2 linked regions of the Saccharomyces cerevisiae S288C genome follow. The protein of the gene in region 2 interacts with the protein of the main gene of each other region in a biochemical or structural test. Each region holds a gene or a part of one and is shown on either strand. Other genes may lie near its edges.

Region 1 (5,694 bases), on a different chromosome or scaffold from region 2:
CTAAATTCCCGTAATTACCACCGCAAAAGAAAAAAGAATACAAGAAATGGAAAACTAGCGCATAATTTTGTTTCTTTCTTTTTCAAAGTTGCAGCCGCTACTATTGATTCGTTTGAAAATAGCACTTGGCGGCTAAACTACCGGCATAGAAAGTGGATCGGGCAAAATTAAAAGGGAAAGAGCGACGGGGTTACGGGACCATTACATAAAAAAAGTATCACAAAATCTATTGTATGCAAAGATATAAACCATCACATTATTGAAATAATATCGTTCTTGATACTTCCATAATCCAAGAAAAATATTTCAAGCACTTTCTTGATGTTCCTTCCTATAATTTTTCACACCATCCTAACCCTCCTGAACTTTGGTAAATATTACTGTTTACCTATTCAAGAAGACGATGATAAATCAGGAAAAGAAATTGAACAAATTTTAGACAATAACATCGAGTCATTAGGACTACTACTAAATTCGATGTCCTTATCCTCGAACTTTACGACAGGCGATCCTGAACTAGATTCGCTCTTCCAAGATGATTTAATCCCCGAGTTATATAGTGTATTAGATGGCTTCTAACACCAAGTATGTGTATTCTAAGGGTATACAAAATAAATACTGCGATACTATTCAATTCTTCAACAGCAGCTTACTAGATGTAAAATTAGTTACTTCAATTTATACTGTCACTTTTGCATATTTTCAATAGAATAAAATTACCGACGTCTGCCTATTTCTTCCATTGATGGATATATTTCTTTCTCTATCTCATTGCTTGTTACAACACCAAAAGTTTTGCTAAGAATGTGTATAGGAAACAAAAGCCAGAAGTCATTTCGTTCCAAGCCTTTAAGCGCCTAATAGTGAACTTTGCACCGCATACGTTAGCTTATGGTATGTGTGGTAATGTGTGAATTGTTTGTGATATGTAAAAAAAAAAAAAAAAAGGCCACGCTCAAGCACACAATGAAATAAAATTTAAATTTCGGGGCCATTCTACCGTTGGTTTTGCTATCTGCCGGAAAGAGGAAGTCCACAAGTGCCAAAAACTGTCAGTTACATTTTAAAAATAATCGAAATTTATTTTCTTTTGCTATCTCGGTTAAATATTGATGTGTGATTTGGCATAGTTGGCCATTGTCTTATGATTTCTGATTCTACGACGTTCCAATTTTTTATAATCAGTTCAATAATAATAATACATCGATCGGTCGGTCATATTCTTTTCTTTCTTTTTCTGTCAAGGCGTTACTGACGCGACACACAAGCGGCAGGTATAGTGACGTTTTCCGTTGAATGAAGTAATTCTAATGAACCTACGGTTCTCAATAGCATTGGCAGAGGCAGCTGATAAATGTACAGTAGTTTTTACCAGGAAATCCAGCGAGTATTACACATCCGTAGACGCGCTATGTTTTTCCTCAGGTTATCTTTCAGTAATGCTTGAGATCTCTAAAGGAAGTATACACAGTAATAGTGTGACCCAAAAGTTGTTAAAATTTCCGGAGGTAGCCATTATATACCAATTTTTGTATAAATTTACAGGATTAGAAGGTACCTAAAAAACTATAACATGTCAAGAAAGGCCTCTGAGAAGTGAAACAATACTTCCAAGCACAAATATATATTAATAGAATAATGACTGCTTGGTAGTTGAGAGATTACATGTATTGCATAGTGACTGAAAAAATTTAGTATAATTGCTATGTTGCTAGCACAGTGTTAGAATAGGGGCAGATCATTTGTATCATATAATGGGGTATGGAGAACAGGTACCAATTGGGCATATTGAATATTTCGAATATGATGTTATCTCCAAGAATGTACATCATGTCCATTGTGACATTTCATGGTTTTATATATGGGGTTTCTGCATTTTTCAACAAACATCTCTTTTATAAGCTTTGCGCTAGTTATGGTATTTATTTTTCAAATTAATAACTTACAAATAAACAAAACTTTCTCAACTAAATATTTATTTCTTCCCTGTAGACTGTAAAAATTTCGGAAGCAAAAATAAACCTCCCTGAATGTTAAAGGTGATTATTAGGTGAATAATTTGATAATTGTTGCAATTCCACTGTTTGTAAATTCTATAGTATTATGTATACAGAATACAGCTTCCTTTAACTTCGACGACAATTTCTCATAACCTTATGTCATCATCTAATACCGTACATGATAACACACTATAAGAATTGAGAAACAGTCATCAGATGAGATGGAAGCTGCAAATGCAAGCATTGAAAATATAATAAATAACGAATGATAACAAAAAATGTGGGGAAGAAAAAACAACATTACCATGTATGATTCTTGCTTCCCTCTTGTAGTATCCTCTATCTTGTAAGAGACGTTGTGATATACTGAATACCCAGTAATATTCCCGCTATCTAGAATGAAAATTGTTGGAATTGAACTCTAATATCATCTATTTAATATTATATTATCACATGCGGTGTAAGAAGATGACATAAAGATTGAGAAACAGTCATCCGATCTAATGGAAGCTGAAATGCAAGGATTGATAATGTAATAGGATAATGAATGACAACGCATAAAAGGAAAGAAGATAAAATAATAACATTATGTAGAACTATCGATTCCCTTTTGTGGATTCCTATATCCTCGAGGAGAACTTCTAGTATATTCTGTATACCAATATTATAGCCTTTAGCAACAATGGAATCCCAACAATTATCTAACAACTCACATATTTCTCAAAAATAACACAATTTTATGAAAGTTCACATAATTGAGTTAGAGCTTGAAATACTCTAACTTACAATCAAATGAACACAAATCAGAAGCTTCTATGGCCAAGTTGGTAAGGCGCCACACTAGTAATGTGGAGATCATCGGTTCAAATCCGATTGGAAGCATATTTTTATGTATTCTAAGTATGCAACGATACCGCTGTCATCGTTAGCATGATTAGTACACTGTTGTTCTTTTTCAATCTAACAACCTTAACTTCAGTTCCGGCTACAGTACATCTATTCAACGATTGGAAAAGAAAATTTTTTTATCTTTAGCTGCAACAAGAAAAAATCAATATTAAATTTTCATTTAAGTATACAGAATGTTAACAGCGTTCACAAGAAAAGAACCGTATGGAAATATAGCTAATTGTGATTTCTAAGTTTCTTTTTTATCGTAACAAAAAGTCTTCGTCCAGGATGGTATCAACTTGCTGTCTACCGATTGGGTTATCGGTGTTTTGCCTTATTGGTTCATCAAAGTCCACAAACTCTTCTGCGACGCCCTCCTCTATCATTTCTTCTCTTCTTCTTGAAACTATTTCAACGAACTTTTGGACATGAGCGTCATTAATTGCTAGACCCTTCTGTAGCTGGAAAGTTTGCCTACACATCGGACACAGTCCTTTTGAGGTTGGTGTATCAAGCCAACGGTATATACAATGATCATGGAAGTTATGATGACATAGCCCAATCACTAAAGGGCATTGATCGCCTGGAAATTTACAGCTTGGACAGGTACCGTTATAACTGGCACGACAGATACCACAGACATCCTCGTCTTCATCATTGCCAATTGGATCGTTATTGGCTGCGTCCTCATCAGATGTGCTAGGGATGTGCCATGACCAAGCAAACACACTGTGCACTTCGTTTATTTTAACTTTCATATTTTTATAATCTGTATTGCCACTTTGCTTGTTAAACTCTCCCGATATTGTACAAAGTTTTTGAAGAATGCATTATTTTTTTATCTGCAGACACGGAAGATACAAAAGTTATCTCGGCAGCTTACCCTTTATATCGAATGCAGGCGTAGACAAAAGTGCGTTGCATAACTTACCAAGGTGAAGTGCATGGACCAGCAAAGGATAGAAGTTATTGTAAACATCGAAACCATAAACTTATATATGTATATATGAAGGCATTAAGCGTTTTATGTTTTCACAACCCTTTTAAGAGATGTCTTGGACAAAAAAGCTTCTTCGTTGGTGATAGCTTCTTTATTCCAACTCCGAAACGCCTTGTGCTAGGAAAACTACGCCTTTCCAACTACACTGCATTTCACGACCTAATCATTCACGACCTCTTTATTTATATATTTATTCTTAATTTTTTCTTCTTTCCTTTTTGTAACAATTTCAATTATTGGAAGGTTTTTCACGTTGCTCAACCGAGAATTTACCATCACTCCAGACTTGTAATGATTCTAAAAGTTTCCCTTGAGTGTGCAGTTTCTTGATTTCTTCATTACCTCCTCTTGATACTCCATTAACCAAAAGGTTTGGAACAGTTCCTCTACCGGTCACCAACTTGATATATTCTTGCAGCTCTTCCCCATGTCCATGTTTGTCAAGTTCTATAATATAGTAGTTTGGGATAAACTGATACTCATTTTCAAGCAGTTCCTTCATGCCCTTGCTATATGAACAGGTGCTTTTACTAAATATTATAATCGGAGACAAGTCTAGTATGAGGGAGTATTCTTTTTGAACATTAAAAGCTTTGGTTATTCGCGACCCTTTATCGTTTTTAATGGCCGACAAACTATCATCAACCGATGCTATGGGCTGTTGGAGTCCCACCTTCTGTTTTATTTCATTAATTTCTTCGTCTACTTCAGAGCTCCCCTTATTCGTGGTAGAAGTCGGCATAGCAGCATATTCCCTGGAAGATCCTCCAGCCATATTGTCCATATTAGTACTAAATGCTTTAGAAGTTTCCTCTTTTATCTCTACCGTCAAGAAGTTCGCATTTTGCGCTACGAAAAACACTAACAACAATAATAGCGTTGTAATGCTTAAAATTCTAGCATTTCTCTTATTGGAAGGTATCATAATAAAATTGTTTCTATATTAAACCGCTAGGTTGCTAAGGTTTCGTCTTTTCTATCTTACGATAATTTGCTTAAAAGTTCATTTAGAGAATAGATAGTGATCTTTCCCAGTATAATGTTTTCCCGATTTCGCGAACGCTCCGCCTCAGGCGCCCCGGGACGCGTCATGCGCGTTCCAGAAAGTTAACTAACTGCTAGTGCATTCAATTTCTCAAGGCGTAGTATTTGGGATCTATAAAGCCTTCGACATTAAGCACTATGCTTAAAAGCGAACAGCCTGCGCCACTACTTAAGAGCGAATCTTGTGTGGAGGGATGACTAGGTCCAAAGAGGGAGAAAAGGATCTTGCGGAAAAGTCAACAACACTAATCGGTAGCTGAGTCTGTCAGTGCATCCTTACTGGCTTACTATTTTCATTCATGCTGCAAGTAGATTATCCTCTAGTTAAATTAAACGCGGATGAACTACGCCATTAAATCCATCATAAGAAACTAATTACTACTTTTAGGAAATTAGCCAACTAAAAACTGCTGAAACGCCACATTTCACATAAAACCCCACGGAGCAGTAATGGGAGATCTTAAGCTCAGCCCAGTACATATGTCCATCAGCCTTGAATAGCCACGGTGAGTTCTCGAAGCTTCCTTCCACCTAGTCCAGAATATTTCTTGGTAAATGGCTCGAAGTTTTCGTATTAAACGATGCTATCAGCGGCATCGTGAAATATTGAAATATAAAAAGTATTTACGCAACCGAAAAGGATATTAAGACAAACCCATACAATAGCCCATAAACCAAGCAAATACACATCTCATGTCAGCTCAAGATTATTACGGAAACTCTGCCTCCAAACAAAGCGTACGTTAATTTTACAAGTTT
Region 2 (4,528 bases):
TTGATTACATATACTAGCTATGCGTTGAACTTCAAAAATTTAAATAGGCTTCACCCCAGAAATGATGTTAATGACAATAGTAATTAACCTACAGATAGACTAGAAATGAAAAAGGTACGGTTAACGTTGACGCTCCCTCGACAAGTTAGGTCAAATATGAACCACAACTGAAATATATGCGGGATATACCCGCGCTTGCGTGCATGTAACTAAGCAAAAATTCTCCATACTGTTCGAGGAAAAAAATGTTCATGAATCTCCCCTGAATAAATTAAATTAAGGTTTACGATTCGAGTTGTTTGGAAAAAAAAAAAAAGGTTCCCCTGTACTGTTGCCAACAATAGTCTTATATCTTATATCAGTAAATCTATGTTATTAGAGATAGAATATACATATATTTTATTGTATTCTTTCTTAAATACATTGTATCTAATATTCTTTTCATCGTCCAATCCCATATAAATCTTGCTTCTCTTTTTCAGCTGAGTAAGGACTTCTGTTTATACAGCGTATTTCTTTGTCCATTCTCTGGCTGTAGCTTCGTACTTGGGTCTGTCAGTCTTGTAGATATGAGCGATTTCTGGTACTAAAGGATCGTCAGGATTAGCGTCTGTTAACAAAGAACAGATGGATAATAGGACCTTCGATAGAGTTAGAGCTGGAGACCATTGATCCTTTAGGATGTCCAGACAGATGTTACCATTGGCATTGATATTTGGATGATATATCTTGGTTGTGAAGGAGATCTTTGGTGGCTTGAATGGGTAGTCGGTTGGGAAATGGATAGACAAGAAGAAAACACCGCCGGCATATGGGGAATCGGCAGGTCCCATGATGGATGCTTGCCAGTGATATAGATCATCGCCGACTGGACCGGCTGAACATGAAGTAGGTGGATCTCTAGTTCAATAGCATGTTGATTTTGTTAGTAAATAAGAGCATAAGTTTTAAAAAAAAAGCACGCATTTGAAACGTGGCCATAACTTTAGACATACCTTTCTAGATCACTTAGTTCTTTAGCAATACGTTTAGAAGAAGACATGTTTTTTTGGATGCTTGTTTATGTATGTACTCTATAGTCAGTGAAATTTATTTACTTGTGGCGATAGTGATTTTCCTGGCTTCTTTACTTTATTTTTTTTCAGGATAGATTTATTCTCTGGATTATTTATTAAGATGAAAAATAAGAATAAAGAAAAAGAAAGAAGGATGAAGAAAAAAGAAAAATACAGGCCAAGGCCTTTCAAGGTGAGCTGTTGCCAGGTTTTTCCGCAGCGGGAAAAATCTCGCAGACCATGTGACCGCCGGTACTCCTTTTCCTGTTGCTCGGCCATTTGATCCTCGCTTCGAGAAAAACTATAACAATTGATTAGTGCGGAGAGGAGGATAGGCGGTAAGATCAGTTTTGTTTATTGTATAAATGAGATACTTTGGAATAAGGACATTAGCCTTATGTTACATCATTTCTTATCACGTAAGACTACTTATTGTCAAACTTTTTATGAAGTCATAAGGTGGACATATGAATAGTGCAGTTACCCTTGTTCAGGAATGACACCTTGTGCATTCCAGTGAGAAAGGAATGTTGACTAAAACAGTAGCTGTGCTTTTTTTTTTCTTTTTTGCCTTTTTATTCTTAATGTTCAAGAAAACTTTCTTTCCATGGAATGTATGAGGACCCTTTATTTTGAGGAATGGGTTCGAATTTATCATGCAAATTGGCAAGAATTTACTAAGTGGACTATATTTAAAGAGTTGAATTTTACGGTGAAAGTAAATTAACGCTACTTCTGTTGTTTTGGAAAAGCCAAGTTCAAGTTTCTTTTCTTGATTATTTATTCTCGTAACGATTTCGCTTTTCCTCTCTATATATTTTCCTACTCCATTCTGTAAAGAGCTTCCAGAACAAAATATAAATAAATAAAAAAAACTTCTCTTCAGGCAAGAGTACGTTCTTCGCTGGTTTCCTACAGAATCAAAAGAGTACTGCAGCTTATTGTACACACTTACAATATTCAAAACATGTGTGGCCTACTCGGTTCCTGGCAAGGTTAAGCCAAGTGGTGTAGTTACCAGAAAAAAGTGAACACATACAAGATACGATGCGTAAGTACATAAGGTATGACAGCCTGTAACAAATCCACGTTAGATTTATATCTTCTAGGCTGAGAATCTGGCAGGTTTTAGCAAAACATATATAACTTGCTCTCATTAAGCGGGCTCACTGCTTAAGCGATTGTTACCTGGAACTACAGGCAAGTACAATAGCCTCCTCCAGCTTTTGACTCTGAAAAAAAGGTAACGAAAGAAACTTTTCACACAGATAGGAACTATTCTAATATTACAGTAAAGCCAGCTATGGAATAACAGGTGGCATGTGCCCACTGTATTCATGTATGAGCGGCCTTTTTTTTCCACGAAAACAGATATGATGATGTTTTAGGCCAAAATGGTGAGATCCTTTTACAGGAAGATTTTACGCCAACTCTTTCCATTTAGTGACACAGGTGAGGGTCTTTTATCGGCGCAAGGTGTTTCAGATGAGCCATTTTGCCCGTAGTCCGGTTTAATCAGCCTCATTGGAATTCCCCGGCACCGCTCGCATTCCGCGTACGACTCAAAGAATTTCCCATTGAATTCGGGAATGTGCGTGTTTCAGATTGCGTTTGCTTATTATTCTGGGAAACTCTCCGGAAACAAGCTGAGCTGGACTCCACGAATGGTCCCTCACAAGGCTCTTGGCTCATGCACAGTTAAAAAGCACCTGTAGCTACCATCAGCAATCCATGGTGCTGGAGTTTCTCTCGATGGTACGGCCCATAGCTGGAGAAAATAGCTTATTACCAAAAAAGTAATTCCCCCGCAGAGGTATATATTAAGTTTGAAACAAAAGGCTTGCTTAATTTTTTACATATGACAACCCTTTTCTTACTTTTATAAATGTTTATGAAACAGGAGATTCTTCGACTGGTGCCAGATTCCTCCCATATCGACAAGAAGAATAATCCACCTATTTCAACAATTCTGATACCTGTTTAACCATGAGTCTTAAAGAAGACGACTTTGGCAAGGATAATTCTAGAAATATAGAATCATATACTGGTAGAATTTTTGACGTATATATACAAAAAGATTCGTATTCACAGTCGGCCTTGGATGATATGTTTCCAGAAGCCGTAGTTTCAACCGCCGCTTGTGTGAAAAATGAAGCGGAGGATAACATCAATCTCATAGACACGCATCCTCAATTCGAACTGGTAAATACTGGACTGGGTGCTAAATCGGACGATTTGAAATCTCCATCAGCAAAGGCTACGTTCACTGACAAGCAGAGGAAGAATGAAGTACCAAATATATCTGTGAGCAACTACTTTCCCGGACAAAGTAGCGAAACGTCGTCAACAACGGAATCTTGGACTATCGGTTGTGATAAGTGGTCAGAAAAGGTAGAAGAGGCATTCCTTGAGGCACTTAGACTGATAATGAAAAATGGGACCACAAAAATAAAAATAAGAAATGCCAATTTTGGAAGAAACGAGCTGATTTCATTATATATCAAGCACAAAACCAACGAGTTCAGAACCAAAAAGCAAATTTCTTCCCATATTCAAGTCTGGAAGAAGACCATACAAAACAAAATCAAGGACTCGCTGACCCTATCATCAAAGGAGAAGGAGCTTCTACACCTTATCGAACATGGCGCTGAACAAACTACTGAAAACTCAAACCTGTTTTATGACATATTTGAAGAAATTATCGACTCTCTACCTTCAGTCAGTGATTCTGGAAGTTTAACCCCTAAAAACCTCTATGTAAGTAATAATAGCAGTGGATTGTCAGTACATTCAAAACTGCTTACGCCAATCACTGCTTCCAACGAGAAAAAAATTGAAAATTTCATAAAAACTAATGCTGCATCTCAAGCCAAAACCCCCCTCATTTACGCTAAGCACATTTATGAAAACATAGACGGCTACAAGTGCGTTCCGTCAAAGAGGCCTCTTGAACAACTTTCCCCCACGGAACTCCACCAGGGAGATCGCCCCAATAAGGCTAGCTTTTCCAACAAGAAGGCAATCCTGGAGAGTGCAAAAAAAATCGAAATAGAGCAGAGAAAGATAATCAACAAATACCAAAGAATTTCCCGCATACAAGAACATGAAAGTAATCCTGAGTTCAGTTCCAATTCCAATTCCGGTTCAGAGTACGAATCGGAGGAAGAAGTAGTCCCAAGATCAGCCACAGTCACACAACTCCAAAGCAGACCAGTGCCATACTACAAGAATAATGGAATGCCCTACTCACTCTCCAAAGTACGAGGAAGGCCCATGTATCCAAGACCTGCTGAAGATGCTTACAATGCCAATTATATTCAAGGTCTGCCCCAGTACCAAACATCTTATTTTTCGCAGCTGTTATTATCATCACCCCAGCATTACGAACATTCTCCACATCAAAGGAACTTTACGCCATCCAACCAATCGCATGGGAACTTTTATTAAATGTCTACATACATACATACATCTCG

What was found. The genes of interacting proteins can lie anywhere in the genome.
Region 1: the proteins of UBC4 (region 2) and APC11 form a complex in vitro, tested with the Saccharomyces cerevisiae proteins (22 studies listed by BioGRID).

Annotation. Positions count from the first base shown.
Region 1 is NC_001136.10:431,452-437,145, reverse strand, and holds APC11 (anaphase promoting complex subunit 11), read right to left. Parts: upstream 3,650-5,694; coding exon 3,152-3,649; downstream 1-3,151. Other genes in the region: YDL007C-A (uncharacterized protein), read left to right, coding at 322-579; YDL009C (uncharacterized protein), read left to right, coding at 3,898-4,221; glutathione-disulfide reductase GRX6, read right to left, coding at 4,121-4,816; YDL012C (uncharacterized protein), read left to right, coding at 5,629-5,673. UniProt on the Saccharomyces cerevisiae protein: Probably catalytic subunit of the anaphase promoting complex/cyclosome (APC/C), a cell cycle-regulated E3 ubiquitin-protein ligase complex that controls progression through mitosis and the G1 phase of the cell cycle.
Region 2 is NC_001134.8:406,128-410,655, forward strand, and holds UBC4 (E2 ubiquitin-conjugating protein UBC4), read right to left. Parts: upstream 1,043-4,528; coding exon 996-1,042; intron 901-995; coding exon 501-900; downstream 1-500. Other genes in the region: TEC1 (Tec1p), read left to right, coding at 3,042-4,502. UniProt on the Saccharomyces cerevisiae protein: E2 ubiquitin-conjugating enzyme that catalyzes the covalent attachment of ubiquitin to other proteins. Mediates the selective degradation of short-lived and abnormal proteins. Mediates ubiquitination of PEX5.